2 linked regions of the Diceros bicornis minor genome follow. The protein of the gene in region 1 interacts with the protein of each later gene in a biochemical or structural test. Links are inferred from orthologs where the notes say so. Each region holds a gene or a part of one and is shown on either strand. Other genes may lie near its edges.

Region 1 (7,629 bases):
GGAAAGGTTGCGGGCGTCTCCAAGGGGCTGGGCCGAGAACTCTCTCCCTCCCCATTGGAGCCGGCGGGGACCCCGTCGGGTTGTACCTGGAACCGCTCTGTCTGCACCAAGGCCGCAGCGCGCACGGACACGGGGTGCCGGGGGCCTGCCATCGCTGTGGCCTCTTGAGTCCCGGTCGCCAGCTTCTTGAGCCCGCTGCCTCCCTACCCTCTCAGAGGAGGGGGATCCCCCGCACCCGGAAGACTGGTTGGAATTCCCCAGCAACGCCCTAGACCTGCCAGGTCCTTGCAGTGCTGCCCTGCTCCTCGGTTCTTCGCAGCTTCCTCGCTGTGCCCAAAGCCAAAGATCTGGGTGGAGGGGCAGGAGCACAGGGCGCGGGGGGTGCCCAAGGCAGAGCTGGTGAGAGGGGGAGGGAAGAGGTGGTGGAGGTGCCAGGACTGCTGCCTGAGGCCCTCTTTCCCGTCCGCCAAGGAGGAGGAGGAGAAGGAAGAGCCATCAAAGGGCCCCCAGGCCTGGCCCACCCCTCCCGCCTGTCCACGCCCCATGCAGTGCTGGGGCTGCTGAGAGCCTGTGGGCAGGGGATGCCTCCGCTGGCTCTGTCTTTGAACCCACCTGGGGAGCTGACTGCAGTTGTCATCAGGAAACAATGGCCCAGTGCTAAGGGCTTTAAGTGCCTTATTTGGCTTAATCCTCACGTTGGAGGAAAGGTCTCTTAGTGTCCTCAAGTCAGAGAGGAGGAAATTTGTGTTAAATGGATAATTAATGTCAGTTTTTCTGTCTGTGTTGGGGAGGGTCGGACCTCACAGGCTCACCTCAGAGGTTCCCCTGTGGTGCAGACAAGGCAGGAGGAAGAGGGTCCATCTCTGCAGTCACCCACACTTGGGGGTTGGGGGAGGTGGTGACTAGGACTGTTGAGAGCTGCCTCTAATTCATGATTTATCACAATTACCTGCAAACACTGCCTCTGAGATCAGGAGTGACCATTCCCTCACTAACTGGGGTGGTGAGGGGAATATCCTGGAATCCCCAAAGAGGGCATGCCCAGGTGCCTCACCTCTCTGGACTGCTTCCTTATAGGGGTGATTTCCAGAGCCCCAGCCAACCCTGGCGCACAGTGGTTCTTCCTGCTGTTGGGGCCACCAGCTTTGTGTTGGGATTCCCCCTACTCCAAGTCCTCCAGGGAGGGGTCAGACTCTAGGGCATCCCTCCAGGAAACCACTCTGGCCTTGACAGAGGGCCTTTGTTTGTCTGTCTGACCAGTGACTCTCTCTGAACCTGTAAACCTTCCCTGGTCTTGGCCTAGGCAATGAACACCTGCTGACACAGGCCTGATTCGCAGAGTGCCTCTTGCCTGGCTGTCACACTCTCCTGAACTTCAGAGGAGCCACGCTGAGGGCCTGAGGGCTCTGCTGGCCTGGCAGGATCCAGGGTGGAACAGACTCTGCTCCCCTGGAAGACAGAGGAGAGAAGGTGGGGAAGAGCCAGTTTGCTCACAGCCAGGGACCTAGAAGGACTCTGAGGTCCCCTCCCTCCCTCAATGGGCAGACCCTGCTCCACACCCTCAGCAATCCTTGGTCCTTCCCACTCTTACCCTCTCCATATTCCCTACCCTCATCTCTCACCTGAACAACTACAACAGCCCCCTCCCCCAATGCCTGCGCTCCTCACTTGGTCCCATGAAATCCACTCTCCAGAGGAATCTGCAAAAGAGATTTTGCAGGTTGGTGTAGCCCTGCCCAAAACTGTCCAGCATCTTCCTACTGTCCTTAGAATAAATTCCTAGCTCCCATGGTAGCCTATGAGGTCCTTGGTGGGCCTCTGGCCACCTCTGGACCTCCCCTCCCACCACCCTCCTCAGGTCCTGCCCCACTGGCCTTTCTGCCCATGCAAGAGGCCAAGGCCCTCCCACCTCCAGCTTCAGCCTTGACTGCCCTCCTCAGTTGATTCCTCATTCTCAGGGAAGCCTCCCCAATTCACCATGCCCTATTCATGGCCCTCATCACAGTATGTAAGTGAACATTTACTATGGTGACTCCTATTTTTGTTTTTGTTTTTTCTGTCTTGACTGGACTATTGTAGAGAAGAGATTTCCTCTACCCTCTGGGTGCTTCTGGCTGGAGTATGAATTAAATTGACATGAGACAGAATAACAGGAGAAAATTAAACAAAGCTTTATAACACGTATACATGGTAGAGACCCAGGAAAAACTGGGTAACTCCACAAAATGGTGGAGGCTCTCATCTTAAATACCATCTTCAGCTAAAGACAAAGGAAGATGTTGGGGGCAGTGGTTTGGGACTTCAAAGGGGAGGAAAACAATTCACATGGAACTGGAAAAGCAAATGTTTGGTAAACAGAACTTTGATAAGAATGGATTTAGCAAGGACCCTCCCAGTCTACTGATATCTAGAGTTATCTATGGTGATGGCCTGTCCTGGGGACAGGCCTTCTATCTTAAATTTCTTTTAGACAGTTGGGGGCCGGGCTGGGGGGGTGGGGGTCAGTTATGGGAGATTACCAGAAAAGCACAGTAAACAAGAGTAAGGTTATTATGCAGATTTAAGTCCTTGCCTTCTGCATGAATGAGTTGCTAGAGATAAGGTCATCCCCTCTTCTTCCTGATACAAAGAGGGAGATACCTTTACAGATGGAGATTTCCCTTACAAATGTAAATGTCTCCTACAAAGGGTAAATTCTACTTTTCAGAGTTTCTCCCATGTCTGCAGTTTTTTAAAGTAATAATGCTCATCAGCCCAAAATAACCCTCACGCCAAAGAGACACATTTTGGGGTGGCCAACTCTAATCCCCCACACTATGAACTGAGCAGGTCAGGGACAGATCTTGTGCCCCGCCCTGCCCAGCGCCTGTAACAGTGCTTGGAACAGATTAGGCATTACACAAATATTTGCGGAATGAATGAATGTACATATGGAAGCAAAGGTATACCTGAGGACACTCCCGACGTGGGTGTAACCCCTTTATGCAGGTTAATGATCCGGGGCCGCTCGGTGCCCCCGGCAGCCGAGACACGCGCAGAGTTCTCAGCCGGCACCGCCCCTCCCAGCGTTGCCAGGCGCTCGTTGCCATGGCGCCGGTCGCCAGGGCAGATCCGTGGGACCCGGGTCCTAGAGCGCGGTCCTCTGTGCGCTCAGGGCCCTGCCCGCGTTGCCATGGCACCGCGCGGCCTGCCGCTGGGCGCGCCCCCAGCTGAGGGCACAAAGCCTGGCTGCGGGCACGCGGACGGGTCAGAGCGGAGTGATGGGGCCGTCGCGGGCTGCAACACGGACGGCGCCTGGGCCGCCGTCCGAGTCCTCGGCGCAGCCGCGGCGCGGCTTCCACCACACGCTGATCTTCTACTGGAGAAAGCGGGAGCGCCGCCACGGACGACGCAAGCCGGGCTCGGGCCGCGGAACGAGGCCCAGGGGCGCGGCCAAGAGCCGGGCCTCTGGCCCCGCCTCCGCCCCGGCCCGGGCCACCGGCCCCGCCTCCACCCTGGCCCGGGCTTGCGGTGCGTCCTTGGCCCGAACCCCGGCCTCCAGCTCCGCCTCCTCTCGGGCGCGGGCCGCAGCTCCCGGCCCCGCCTCCACGCCGGCCCCCGCCCCGGCTCCGGCTCCGGCTCCGGGCCCCGCCCCCGCGCCCAACTCGGCCCAAGCCCCCGCGCCTGCGCCCAGCTCCTGTGGCCGCGCCCTGGCGGCGGCGCGCGCGCTGGCCTGGAGGCCGACTTGGAGGCCCTTCTGGAGACCGAGCTGGCCCGGCAGGCATTGCGCGGGCAACATGGCGGCGCCCGGGGAGGGGAGGCGCTTCTACGGCGGGAACCTCTTCTCTTTCTTGCCTGGCGGCGCGCGCTCCGAGGTGATGGACGACCTAGTGACGGACGCGCGCGGCCGGGGCGCGGGGCGGAGAGATGCCGCCGCCTCAGCCCCGACGCCAGCCCAGGCGCCGACCGATTCTCAGGTCGCCGAGGACACCTCCCAGAGGCGGCCCTGCCGGGCTTGCGTAGACTTCAAGACCTGGATGCGGACGCAGCAGAAGGTTCAGATGCCCGGGGGTGCCACCTCCCGCAGAGGCCCGCGAGCTCTGCCGACCCCTAGCCCCGGCCCCCACACCTTGTTCTCAGGCGCCCTGGGCAGACCTCCCAAGGCCCAGGCCGAGCGGTCCCACAGGCCCCATGCCTGCAGACTTATGCTTACCAGGGTTGCCTGTCACTAAGTCCTAACCCCAAGGTGGGCCTGGCCTTTCAGCTTTCAGCCACACGTGGGCCAGATCGGCTGCAGGATTTCTGTCTCGAGTCAATAGGTTTCCGGCTAGGGTGGGAAAAAGAGGAGCTTTGTGGGCTTCTGGTCGGGGGAGACTGAACTGACCTTTGGTCGGTCTCCTTCCGCAGCAGGACAGCAAGTTTAGAGAAGATTGTCCTCAGGATCGTGAGGAACTGGGTCGCCATAGCTGGGCTGTCCTTCACACCCTGGCCGCCTACTACCCGGACCTGCCCACCCCAGAACAGCAGCAAGACATGGCCCAGTTCATACATTTATTTTCTAAATTTTACCCGTGTGAGGAGTGTGCAGAAGACATAAGGAAGAGGTAAGTTACGTCTGCATCATTTGCAGGCAGGAGAGCATGCCACCTGGAGCCTGGGTCCCCTGGCTGATGTCATAAAGGGGAACCTAGAGAAATAGGTGCAGAGGTGGCAGAGGGCTTCGGACAGCGGGGACCACCAACAGAGTGGGGATTGGATCATCTGAGCCATCTCCTTTCCCTGTAGAGGCCAAGCAGCCTGGGTCTACTGCCGGGTGCTTTTGCAGCCACAGGGCTCCCGGGGAGGGCTTCCCCCATGAGACCCCTTGCTTAGCACTGATGGAGGCTCCTGCAGGTTAAGGATGACTTCACTTTGCCTGACTTCTGGAGCAGGACTGCTGGTTTCAAGACCTTGAGAATCCACAGCTTTTGCTTCCAAGAGCCACCTTTTTCTCGCTGGGGAGCCTAAGAGCCGCTGTTTGGCACCCTTAGGTGTTTCTGGGCTGGATGTGTGGGGCAGGGCTGCCCTTGCCTTTTGAAGCCTGAGCAATTAGAATGAGGTCTCTTACTGAGCTGAGGTTCCAGAGCCCCAGGTGCTAAGAAACAGGTGTGGTTTTCAGTTATGCCTTTGTGCTGGCTCTACCCCTTCCATACACTGCCCAGGGCAAAGGACACTGGGGTGAGGCTTCCTAATGGTTCTGAGGTTGTAAAGTTGCCTGGTCTGTGCCTTAATGACTTGCCCTGGGCTCTTGTCAGGGTTGCCAAGCTCCCCAGGTGGGTGTCACAGGGTCCGCCCTGTTTGGGGAATTCCTGTCCCTCAGCACAAGGGCACTTCTGGGTGTAGCTCACTGCAGCGCTCCTGCTCGCCTCCCTGGGTGGAGCAGGCAAGGAGCTAGTGGGGCAGGGGCAGGGGGCCCGCTGCCTCCCCCATCCTCCATTGCTCCCCCCATGCAGGATACACAGGAACCAGCCAGATACACGCACGCGCGCATGCTTCACCCAGTGGCTGTGCCGCCTGCACAACGAGGTGAACCGCAAGCTAGGCAAGCCAGACTTCGACTGCTCGCAAGTAGATGAGCGCTGGCGTGATGGCTGGAAGGACGGCTCCTGCGACTAGACGGCAGCCAGCAGGAGTCCATGGGGCAGCCAGCCAGGGCCTGTGGGCAGCCCGGCTGGAGAGGGGAAAGGCACTCATTAAAGTGTGTCAGAGCCAGAGCCTGTCGTGTCTCAGTTAGGTGGTCCCCAGACACTGCCCACAGGGCCCTTTCCCTCCCACATTTGCAGTAGGAGTGGAAGTGTCTGCGCAGGTACCCTGATGGCCGCCGCCTCAGCTGAGGCCCAGTGGGGCTGCAGGTGAAGGAGGCAGGAGCAGCCCAGACTGTCCCTTCCATTCAGGATGTGGCCTCCTGCTCACTCCACACCCTGGCGCCCACTTTCCCACAGGACGGCGACAGGTCTGGCTGGGCTGCCCTGCCAGGCCTGGCCATTGTCTCCCCTCCCATGTAGCTGGGGACAGCTGCAGTGACTGTAGCCCCAGAGACTGTGCGAGCTCTGCACTTCAGGAAAGAGGGCTGGGGGAGAGCTCTCTACGCTGCTCAGTCTACAGGGAAAGCACAGGCAGGGCTCTTCTCCGAGGGTCCACCGACCCTGTTGCCTGCCTCCCATCTAGCACGTTGCCTTCGCTAGCTGCACCAGGCCTGTCAGAGGCTTCATGGGGCCAGCTTCCTTGAAGCTTGAGACCAAAATAAAGTGCTGGAGAAGTGACTGAGGACCTGGCTTCAGTGTGTTTTGTGCTGGGACTTGCAGCGATGGACAGGGTCTGCCCTCGTCCTCTGTGGTCAGCTGCTTCCTCCTGTCTGGGTTCTGGCTCCTTAGGAGGAAAGAGAGGTCCCACGGCAAGAGTGGACCAGGATATTCCAGGAACAGCAAGGAGGCCAAGTTGCTGGAGCCGAGGGAGGGTCAGAGAGGTGAGGGAGGTCAGATGGCACGAGGTCTTCAAGGCCCCAGCAAGGATGTGGTTTTAACATCCAGCTTCAGTCACAAGAAGGTCTTGGAGGACTTGGAGCCAAGGAAAGGTGAGATGTGACTTGAAAGTTCTCTCTGGCTGCTGAGCTGGGATGAGGCAGGCACCCCTGCGGCAGCTAAGAGGGAAGCTCGCCCTGTCGGATGGAGAAGACAGTGGATAGACTCTGAATGTAGAACCAAGAGAAAGGAGCCAAAGGTCACTTCAGGGTTCCAGCCTGAGAAGCTGGAAGGGTGGAGCTGTTCTGTGTAGCAGGGAGATGGAGAAGGCTGTAAGTGGAGCAGGTTTGGGGGTGACCTAGACCCTGCTTTGGGGCCTGCCCGGATCCACTCAGCCACACCTGCTCCCAGGCCTTGGCTCCCAGCTGGAGTGGCCCAGCAAGTGTGCCCCGTCCCTGTGGTCATAAAGCTCTGGTCACCTATATCCCCACGGCGCCTCCGCCTCTCCCTAGGCACAGGCCAGCCTTTGGCCTGGCCTCCTCAGCTCCTTCACCCAACTGGCCCCACAGGGGTGCTGGCTTCTGCAGGGGCTTCCCAGAGGGGCTGGGTGACACAAATAGGTGGGGAGCAGTCAGCACAGAAGTCACTCCTTCCTCTCCCAGATGGACTGTCCCCAGCACAGGGCTTCTCCCTGGCCTTCCCTGTGGTTCGCTCAGGAACATACTGCCCGTATTTGTCCTCCCTCCTGCCCCGCCTCATTTCCCTTTTCCCCCAACTCGGGCTTCCCCGAAGTTTCACCCCCAATAAAACTCTTAACTTTGCCACAGACTTTGCCAGGGCATCCACGCTAAGACAAGTGGGGCTCTAGTTCAAGGGAATGTTCTGGCTCGAGCTGTCAGCACGTAGACCAAGGGAGTGAGCATAGAGGGAGGAGAAGAGCCCCTAGACCACGCCCTGGGGCCACTACAGCTTCAAGGTCACAGGTGGAACAAGAGGAAGGAATCAGAACAGGGTGACAAGAAAGGGCCCATGAAGTAGGAGGAACTCGAGGAGAGGGTGACATCAGAAGCATTTCCAGAAAGGTGGGGAGGGCAGTGTCTGAACTGCCCCTGGACTAAGGGGAGCAGTGACTTGGGACAGCTGGAGGGGA
Region 2 (6,889 bases), on another chromosome or scaffold:
TCGTGTGCCCTGGTTGAGGAAATGCCCCAATAGACGACTTCACCTTTGCCTCTGCTGGGGGCCTATGGGCTTCTCCAGTCCTGAACCCAGTGGATTTGGATTTCTTGGTCCCAGGGTAGAGAACAGTCAGCCTCACCCCGTGCACAGCAGTTTCTCGGGTTTTGTCTTGTTTGTGACCTTCTTCTTCCAGGCCCCGGCAGCAGATAGCAAGCTTCCTTGGAGGGGTGGCTTTCTAGCTCTTTCTTACACAGGCAGCCCCTCCTGGCTCTGGCTTCAGCACGCAGCTCACACAGCCCTTTCCCACACAGGAAAGCCTGAGCCCGGGGGTCCACTTCCCCAGGCCCCTTCCTTCCGCCCCAGCGCAGCACCTTGACCCGCAGTCTGCGTCTGCTGCCAGCAGGTTTCCCATTCTTGGGGTTGAGCTCAGCAGCGTGTTAACTCTGGGTTTGCTGGTCAGCACTTCTGTGAGCTGCAAGAGATGAGGGCGGCCTCCTCATGTGTTCAGGCAGCACACGGTCCACTCGTCCCGGGGTGTAACCTCCCCGTCCTGAGCTTCAGGCTCGCTGCCTCCCGTGAGCAAGAGGGGGCTGAGACACCACTGGCTCACCAGGGAGGCATGAGGACGCTACCTACTGCGTGCAGGGGTCCCTGGGAGTGCTGGGATGCTGCAGGGACAAGACAGACACGCCTCAGCTCTCACGGGGCTTACAGTCTCATGCGGGGACAGAAATAAATATCAGGTAGTGGTGACCTGGAACAAGGGATGTGACAGAAATGTCTGGGGCTACCACAGGCTGGGTGCTCTGGAACAATTTCTCCGAGCCAAGTCTTCATCTGACCCAAGAAATGGAGGAGCCAGCCACGGACGCTCCAGAGGCCATTCCTGCAGAGGCCCTGCAGTGTGCTAGGGAGACCCAAGGACACACAGGAGGGGAAGGGAGGGCACTGAGAGGGAGCAGGGGCAGAGCGGTCAGAATTGGGCTTTTATTCTTCGCAATGGGAAGCAGCTGGAGGGTTTTTGGCAGGAGGTGACATGATCTGATTAGATGGGATTTTCTACCATAAAAAAGAAGCCTGTTCGAGGAGACTGTTGGGAGGGCCTGGCCAGTCCTGAGCAGGCCAGGTGGCTGCAGTTGATCCTGAGTCAGGAAGAGAAGTCAGCACAAGGAGGAATTCAGAGCAGGAAGGATCCAGGAGACCGCCCGACACATCGCCCCATCTGATGGTGGAGGAAACTAAGCCATAGCTGGTAACTTCCCTAGGTCTTGACCTCACTGTCTGTAAAGTGGACAGGAGCTCAGACATTAGCTAAGGCAGGGCAGAGAAAGCCTGCACATGTGGGGCGTGCAATGGATGGGGCCACGGGACAGTCACTATCTGCGCCCGCGGGCGATAGAACGCAGGCCGCCCAGCTCTCAGGGAGCTGCCCTCCGTTGCTCTCTACTTCCTGGGGGGTGGGGAGCTGTGGGAGGAAGGGAGGCTGGTCTGCAGCAGTCTAAGACCTCACAGCCCTCAACAAGCAGAGGGACAGCCTGGGACAGCTCTGGGGAGAAGCAATGGGAACTACCTGACCCACTGATTTCTCAGCCACTCTAGAAGCAGAAACAGGGGTGACCTGCCTGGACACACAGAACAGACCACTGGGCCCCGTGCTCCAAAGCTGCCCATCCCAAAATGTGATCTGACAGTGGGCGTGCTGGGGAGCCTTCATCTCCCTCTGCTCCTTTCCCTCCCAGAGCTTCACCTCCGCTCATCCATGCCCAGGTGGCAAGGGGGCCTTGAGGTGGGTCCCAGGTAAACGGTGGTGGCTGGGACCCTCTTCCTCATCACATTCTCACACTCTTCCCAGCCACTCCCACTGGGCATAGGTCCTTCCTGCGAGGGGCAGGTCCCCAGAGGTAAGGGGGGCAGAGCCTCTGAGCAGCTTCCTCTTGCCTCAGAACCTGCCCCCTCTTGAGTGGTTCCTGCTTCCAATTGCAAATTGGGGAGCAGACCCCACTGCTCCCTAACCAGAGCTCCTGAACACAAGGCGGCCAGGGTGGAGGGGCCCTGCCATCCTTCCCCAGAAGCAGTCTCCTGGAATTGAGCTGGGAGGGGCTCCTTCTGGGTGGTTTCCAAGAGCCTTGTGAAATCCTAGATGTCCTTCCGTGCAGACTTGGGCTGGGCCCCAGAGGGAGAGTGGTCACCACCCCAGGAGCTGAGTCCCTCGCCAGAGCGCAGGAGGAGCCCACTGTGCAACCTAGGACCCCGGAGGTGGAGCCCCTGGCAACCTCCTGGCTGAAGCCCCTACTCCAGTGCAGGAGGGGCCGTGGGGCAGGTTGTCCCATGGGGTTTTCCCAACTCTGAGGGGTGGTGACTCCCCGGAAACCACCGGGCTGAAACTTCCTCTTCCACTTCTGCGCGGGGGTGGGGGAGTGAAGAGGGGACATCTAAGGGCCAGGGGATGGGACGGGGGGAATGGGAGTGGGGTGGGGTGCTGCACGGGTCTGCAGGGGCTGGAGGGTCTCTGAACCCCCTCTGCAGTCTGAGGTCTCTGACTGCCCCGCCAGGCTCCAGCCCGCCCCGCCCCGGGCCCGCCCCACAGCTGCAGGTCCCTGGCTGGAATCTCAAGCCCCCACCCCAGGCTTCAGCTCCCACTTTCTCGCCCGCAGCCCGGGGTCTCTGACCTCTCAGGAGCCTAGCTCCCCGCACCCCATCTCGAGCCCGCCCCTTTCCTCGGCCTGCAGTCTGGAGTCTCCTGGACTCCCACTTCCCAGCCCGCAACCCGCTGACTCCCGATGCCCACGACTCCAGCCTGCACTGCCGGGGCCGCAGCCCGGGGTCTCGGGCCCCCGGGTGCCCAGGCTCAGCCCCCGCCCCAAGCGCGGGATCCCGGGTGCACTCACTCAGGCCGGACGCCAGTGCCTGCTCGTTGGCCCACATGGCCCACTCGATCTGCCCCATGGCGGCGGCGGCTCAGCTCGGACTCCGCGGCCGCGCTCCCGCCTGGCCTCTCGCCCCTCCGCCCCTCCGCCGCGTCCCGGCCCGAGTTCCGGCCCCGCCCCGCCCCCGGCCGTTCGCCCCGCCCCCAGCCCCCAGGAGACAGACTGGCTGGGCCGGTGGGATCCGACGTCTCGGGGTGCTGACGCAGGAGACTTGCTCCCCGAGAGCCCGGCCCGGGAGCTCAGGATGAGGCCCAGCCCCACTGGGCCGGCTTCCTCGGCGGGCTCTGCGTGCCGGGTCCAGCCTCCGAGGCCCAGGCCGCCCGCTCACTTCCTCCTTCCAGCACCTCCTCGGGCGCCCCGCAGGGAGGCCACCATTTGATGCTCACTTTGTGCCAGGCGCCTACCCTGCCAGCTCTGCCCTCTGCCGTTAATCGGGGCTTCCTAAGCATCTCCGGGGGCTTGTGACAAGGGTGGTTCCTGGTGGGCTGTGCCACAAGGGGAGCAGCCTGTCTCAGGAGGCAGAGTCACCCCCACAACGCTGAGCTCTCTCTGGAGCTTCCAGACCAAGGGTCCCGCAGGTGTCTATGGGGCTTCACCCAGAAAAGGTGTGAGCAGGTCGGGTTCCCAAAAGGGTTTACAAAGGTCCAGAGCCTTCACCATGTCCACTGTGGTCTCCCCATCAAGGAGCAGGGCCTCAGACAGGAGCCCCTTGAGCCTGGGCAGCCCCTCCCTCTCTGGAGATCAGCGACTAAGGACGGTGGCAGGTCCAGTCCCCACTTTCTCCTCTGGCAGACTACAGGCAGCCCTCTGCTCACAGGACTAACAGGGAGGGGACAGCACGTGAGAAGCTTCTGGGGAAATCCTCAATGCAGGAGTGCATGTCCCTCCTCCGCCTGCCTCATTCAGGGTCACAGACCAGAACCCGCTCCAGGCAGCAGCCTCACCCGCCCTGGGGCATCCGACCCTCAGGGGAGTAGGGAGAGGCGGGTGGGAGGGCAGGTGCCTAGCTCCTCCTCCACCGCCCGCCCGCGCAGATCTTTAGGAAGTGGGCGGGGCGAACGGCTGGGTAACTGAAGGGGAGCTCAAGGGGCAGAAGACAGCAGGAGGGGAGGCGCTGCCCAGGCCCTCCCTGGTCCTCTGGGTGAGTGCTGCCCACTGCCCGGCACAGGCCCTCAGAGCAGGGACCCCGGAACACTGCGCAGGAACCAAGCAGAAGCACCAGCAGGAAGTCACCCACGCTGGCTTTATTCCCAGTGGCCGGCCACAGGGGCTCCCAGAGGATGCTGGAACCTTGGTGCTGCTCTCCCACCTCCCGCCCGAGGCACACTACAGGCCTTCTTATAGAGAAACGTTCCATCCACACCTTGTGGCCCAAGCTCAAGGTCTGGCCCCCAGCCTGGCAGAGAAGCCCTGGCGGCCATCATGCTGGAACCACTTGGTGGAGGTTTCTGGAGGCCTGTGGAGGCTGCTCCCTGCACAGTGACCTGTCCTCCGGCTCCGAGGACGGACGCCTGACTCCCCGTCATCGCCAATGATCGAGCTGCTGTTCCGGGGCAGTGGGAGCAGCCCAGAGCGCGGGGCCAGAGACCCCTTCCCCAGGATGCTCCCCTGGCAGCTCCACTCCCAGCTGGCTTGGTCCTCAGGTGTTGAGCTGCTCCCAGCTCCCCTCCCAGCTCTCATCTTGGCAAAGGGCTGGGTGAAGGCTGGGAAGGGTGAGGCACAGGGGGCAGGGCTGCTCCTCACCACCTGGACAACTGCAGGTGGCCAGTCCACTGCCCCAACTCAACCACAGCACATTGCCCGGCTCGGAGCCAGGCGGCCACCCACAAGTCCCAACAAGCACAGCCTGGTCGGCTGCCACACCCGGTTCCCCAGTCCCAGCGAAGCGTCCCCTTCCCAAGCAGCAGCCGGGGCTCCCGTCGAGGAGGCAGTCAAACAGCTGGCTTCGGCAGGCCATCGGGACCCAGGAGGTGAGCGTGAGGGTCGTCCAGGATTTGAGGCCCAGGCCCTACCTGGGGTGTACAGGAATCAATGTCAGGTCAGGGGGACAGGGAGGGACAGAATGTACCCCCCACCTGCTAGGTAAGTGAGGTCAGAAGCTAACATCTGCCTTGTCCCAGGCCTTGTCCCAGCTCCTTCGCGCAGAGCCACGTGGTCTCCCCACTGCGAGTGCCCGGTCAGTCGGCCCCCGTCACCCAGACTCAGGGTGGACAGTGAGTCCCAGGGCGGAGGTGAGACCACAGCCTGGGTGCAAAGGTCATGGAACCTGGAATAGGGCGGATCCGAGTGAAATCCTGGCTCAGCACTCTGAGCAGGAATCCTGAACCGCTCTGGGGGGGTGGGGGGGGAGGCCCAAGGGTCCCCAGGATCCCCAGCACCTGCCTATCCCAAGTCTCCACCATCCCAGTCCTGCTGTCCACCCTCAGCACCGCCCCTCGCAGGGTGTCCTTCAATGTCCACTTTGAAGGTGAGCGAGAGACTGGATGAAACAAACCGCAATGGGCCACATGCTCTGAGGACTGACGGGGCCGTCACTGCTGCTCCTCTGCTGTTAGCAAGCCGGCTTCCTGCCGAGGCAGGGCGTGAAGGGAGCCTTTCGCCGGGTGGACGCCCCTGCCCACTGTGCTGGGCCGAGGGCCAGGTACCAGGCCTCACCTGAGTGGCTATGATGTATTTGACGCCTCCCGGGGTGGGGTCCATGCCCAGTGCAGCTTTAAGCTCGTCTGAGAGCGGGGCAGGCCTCACGGGCAGCCCTTTCAGAAACCTGAAAAGGAAGGCAGGTCGTACGGGGATCCATCGACAGGGGGGTCTCAGAACAGGCAGGTCCACACAGGAAGCACAGAAGTGGCTGCTGGGCGCTGGGGGTGGGTTGTGACTGCCAATGGGCATGGGGTTTCTTTTGGGGTGATGAAAAGTTCTGGAACTAGAGGGAAGTGCTGGTTGCATGACACTGACTGTACTTAACACCACTGGTCTGTACGCTTCAAAGCGGTCAAGATGGTAATTGTATGTTATGTGTATTTTACCACAAAAAAACCTAAGCAGGGATGACCGAGGGCCTGGCTGGGGTCACGTGAGGGGACAGTTTCAGAAAACCTCTGCAGGGTTTCGGTGTCCTTTCATTCCTAGCCCATGGCTACTGCTATGCCCAGCGGGGCAGCTCTGCTTAGGGAAATGCTTCAGTGTAGGCGTGGGTCTGTCCCCGTGTCCCTCAGGACAGCGAGGATCTGCAAACCACCCCTCGGGGGACAGGGCAGTGAGATCAGAGGCCCCTTGGCCTCTGGGACTGTCCCACAGGGGGGAGGCTAGAATTCCAGCCCCCGCCCCCCAGATGTCAGTGCTGCCTCAGTGATGGTGACAGACAAGACGAGCCCACACACTTCCAGCAGGCCCAGCAGGGAGGTGTCCCCAGCTGAGAACAGAGAACGTGAGAACAGCGGGGTGGAGGGAACCCAAATGCCATTGTCACAGCGGGGCCACAGGCGCGTCCACACAGGAGTTGTGATGCTGCACTGGGGAGTGTGCATGTGATCACGGGGCTGGGACATGATGGAGATGCATCCACAATCACAGCTAGGCACACTTGGTGACACGCTGCCTGTGGTCCCCGGGGGATCAACGCCTGTTGTGGGATTCCCTGTTCAGCACCCCAATCTCAGCAGAAGACCCCGCTCCTCCCTCCACGGCCTCCCAAATGGGGGGACCCACAGGACTCACTTGTCTCCGTTGGACTTGGGGGGGAAGCTGTGCCTTACTGCAGCCACAAACTCGGCCACGGTGTTGTCCAGGGTGAAGATCACGGCGTTGGGGCCCGCATCGAATGTGTACGCCACCTGGAAGCCAGGTGGTCACCGTGACAGTCTGCATGGTGGCTGTGCCCGGCTCAGCCCCTCTCATCTGCCTCGGAGACCCCGGCCTCCCACTGCAGGGCTGGGGCCCAGACCAGCTCCCAAGCGCCGGCGGGG

The links. The genes of interacting proteins can lie anywhere in the genome.
Region 2: the proteins of NOXO1 (region 1) and cytochrome b-245 light chain form a complex in vitro, tested with the Homo sapiens proteins (3 studies listed by IntAct). The link is inferred for Diceros bicornis minor from reciprocal best matches to the Homo sapiens genes NOXO1 and CYBA.

Annotation. Positions count from the first base shown.
Region 1 is NC_080765.1:46,422,603-46,430,231, reverse strand, and holds the start of NOXO1 (NADPH oxidase organizer 1), read right to left. Parts: upstream 3,011-7,629; 5' UTR 2,949-3,010; intron 1,701-2,948; 5' UTR 1,623-1,700; intron 1,450-1,622; 5' UTR 153-1,449; coding exon 87-152; intron 1-86. Other genes in the region: GFER (FAD-linked sulfhydryl oxidase ALR), read left to right, coding at 3,777-4,034, 4,387-4,583, 5,472-5,634. UniProt on the Homo sapiens protein: Constitutively potentiates the superoxide-generating activity of NOX1 and NOX3 and is required for the biogenesis of otoconia/otolith, which are crystalline structures of the inner ear involved in the perception of gravity.
Region 2 is NC_080771.1:37,109,526-37,116,414, forward strand, and holds the start of cytochrome b-245 light chain, read right to left. Parts: upstream 3,016-6,889; 5' UTR 2,944-3,015; coding exon 2,886-2,943; intron 1-2,885. Other genes in the region: MVD (diphosphomevalonate decarboxylase), read right to left, coding at 4,856-4,936, 5,580-5,688, 6,642-6,757. UniProt on the Homo sapiens protein: Subunit of NADPH oxidase complexes that is required for the NADPH oxidase activity that generates, in various cell types, superoxide from molecular oxygen utilizing NADPH as an electron donor.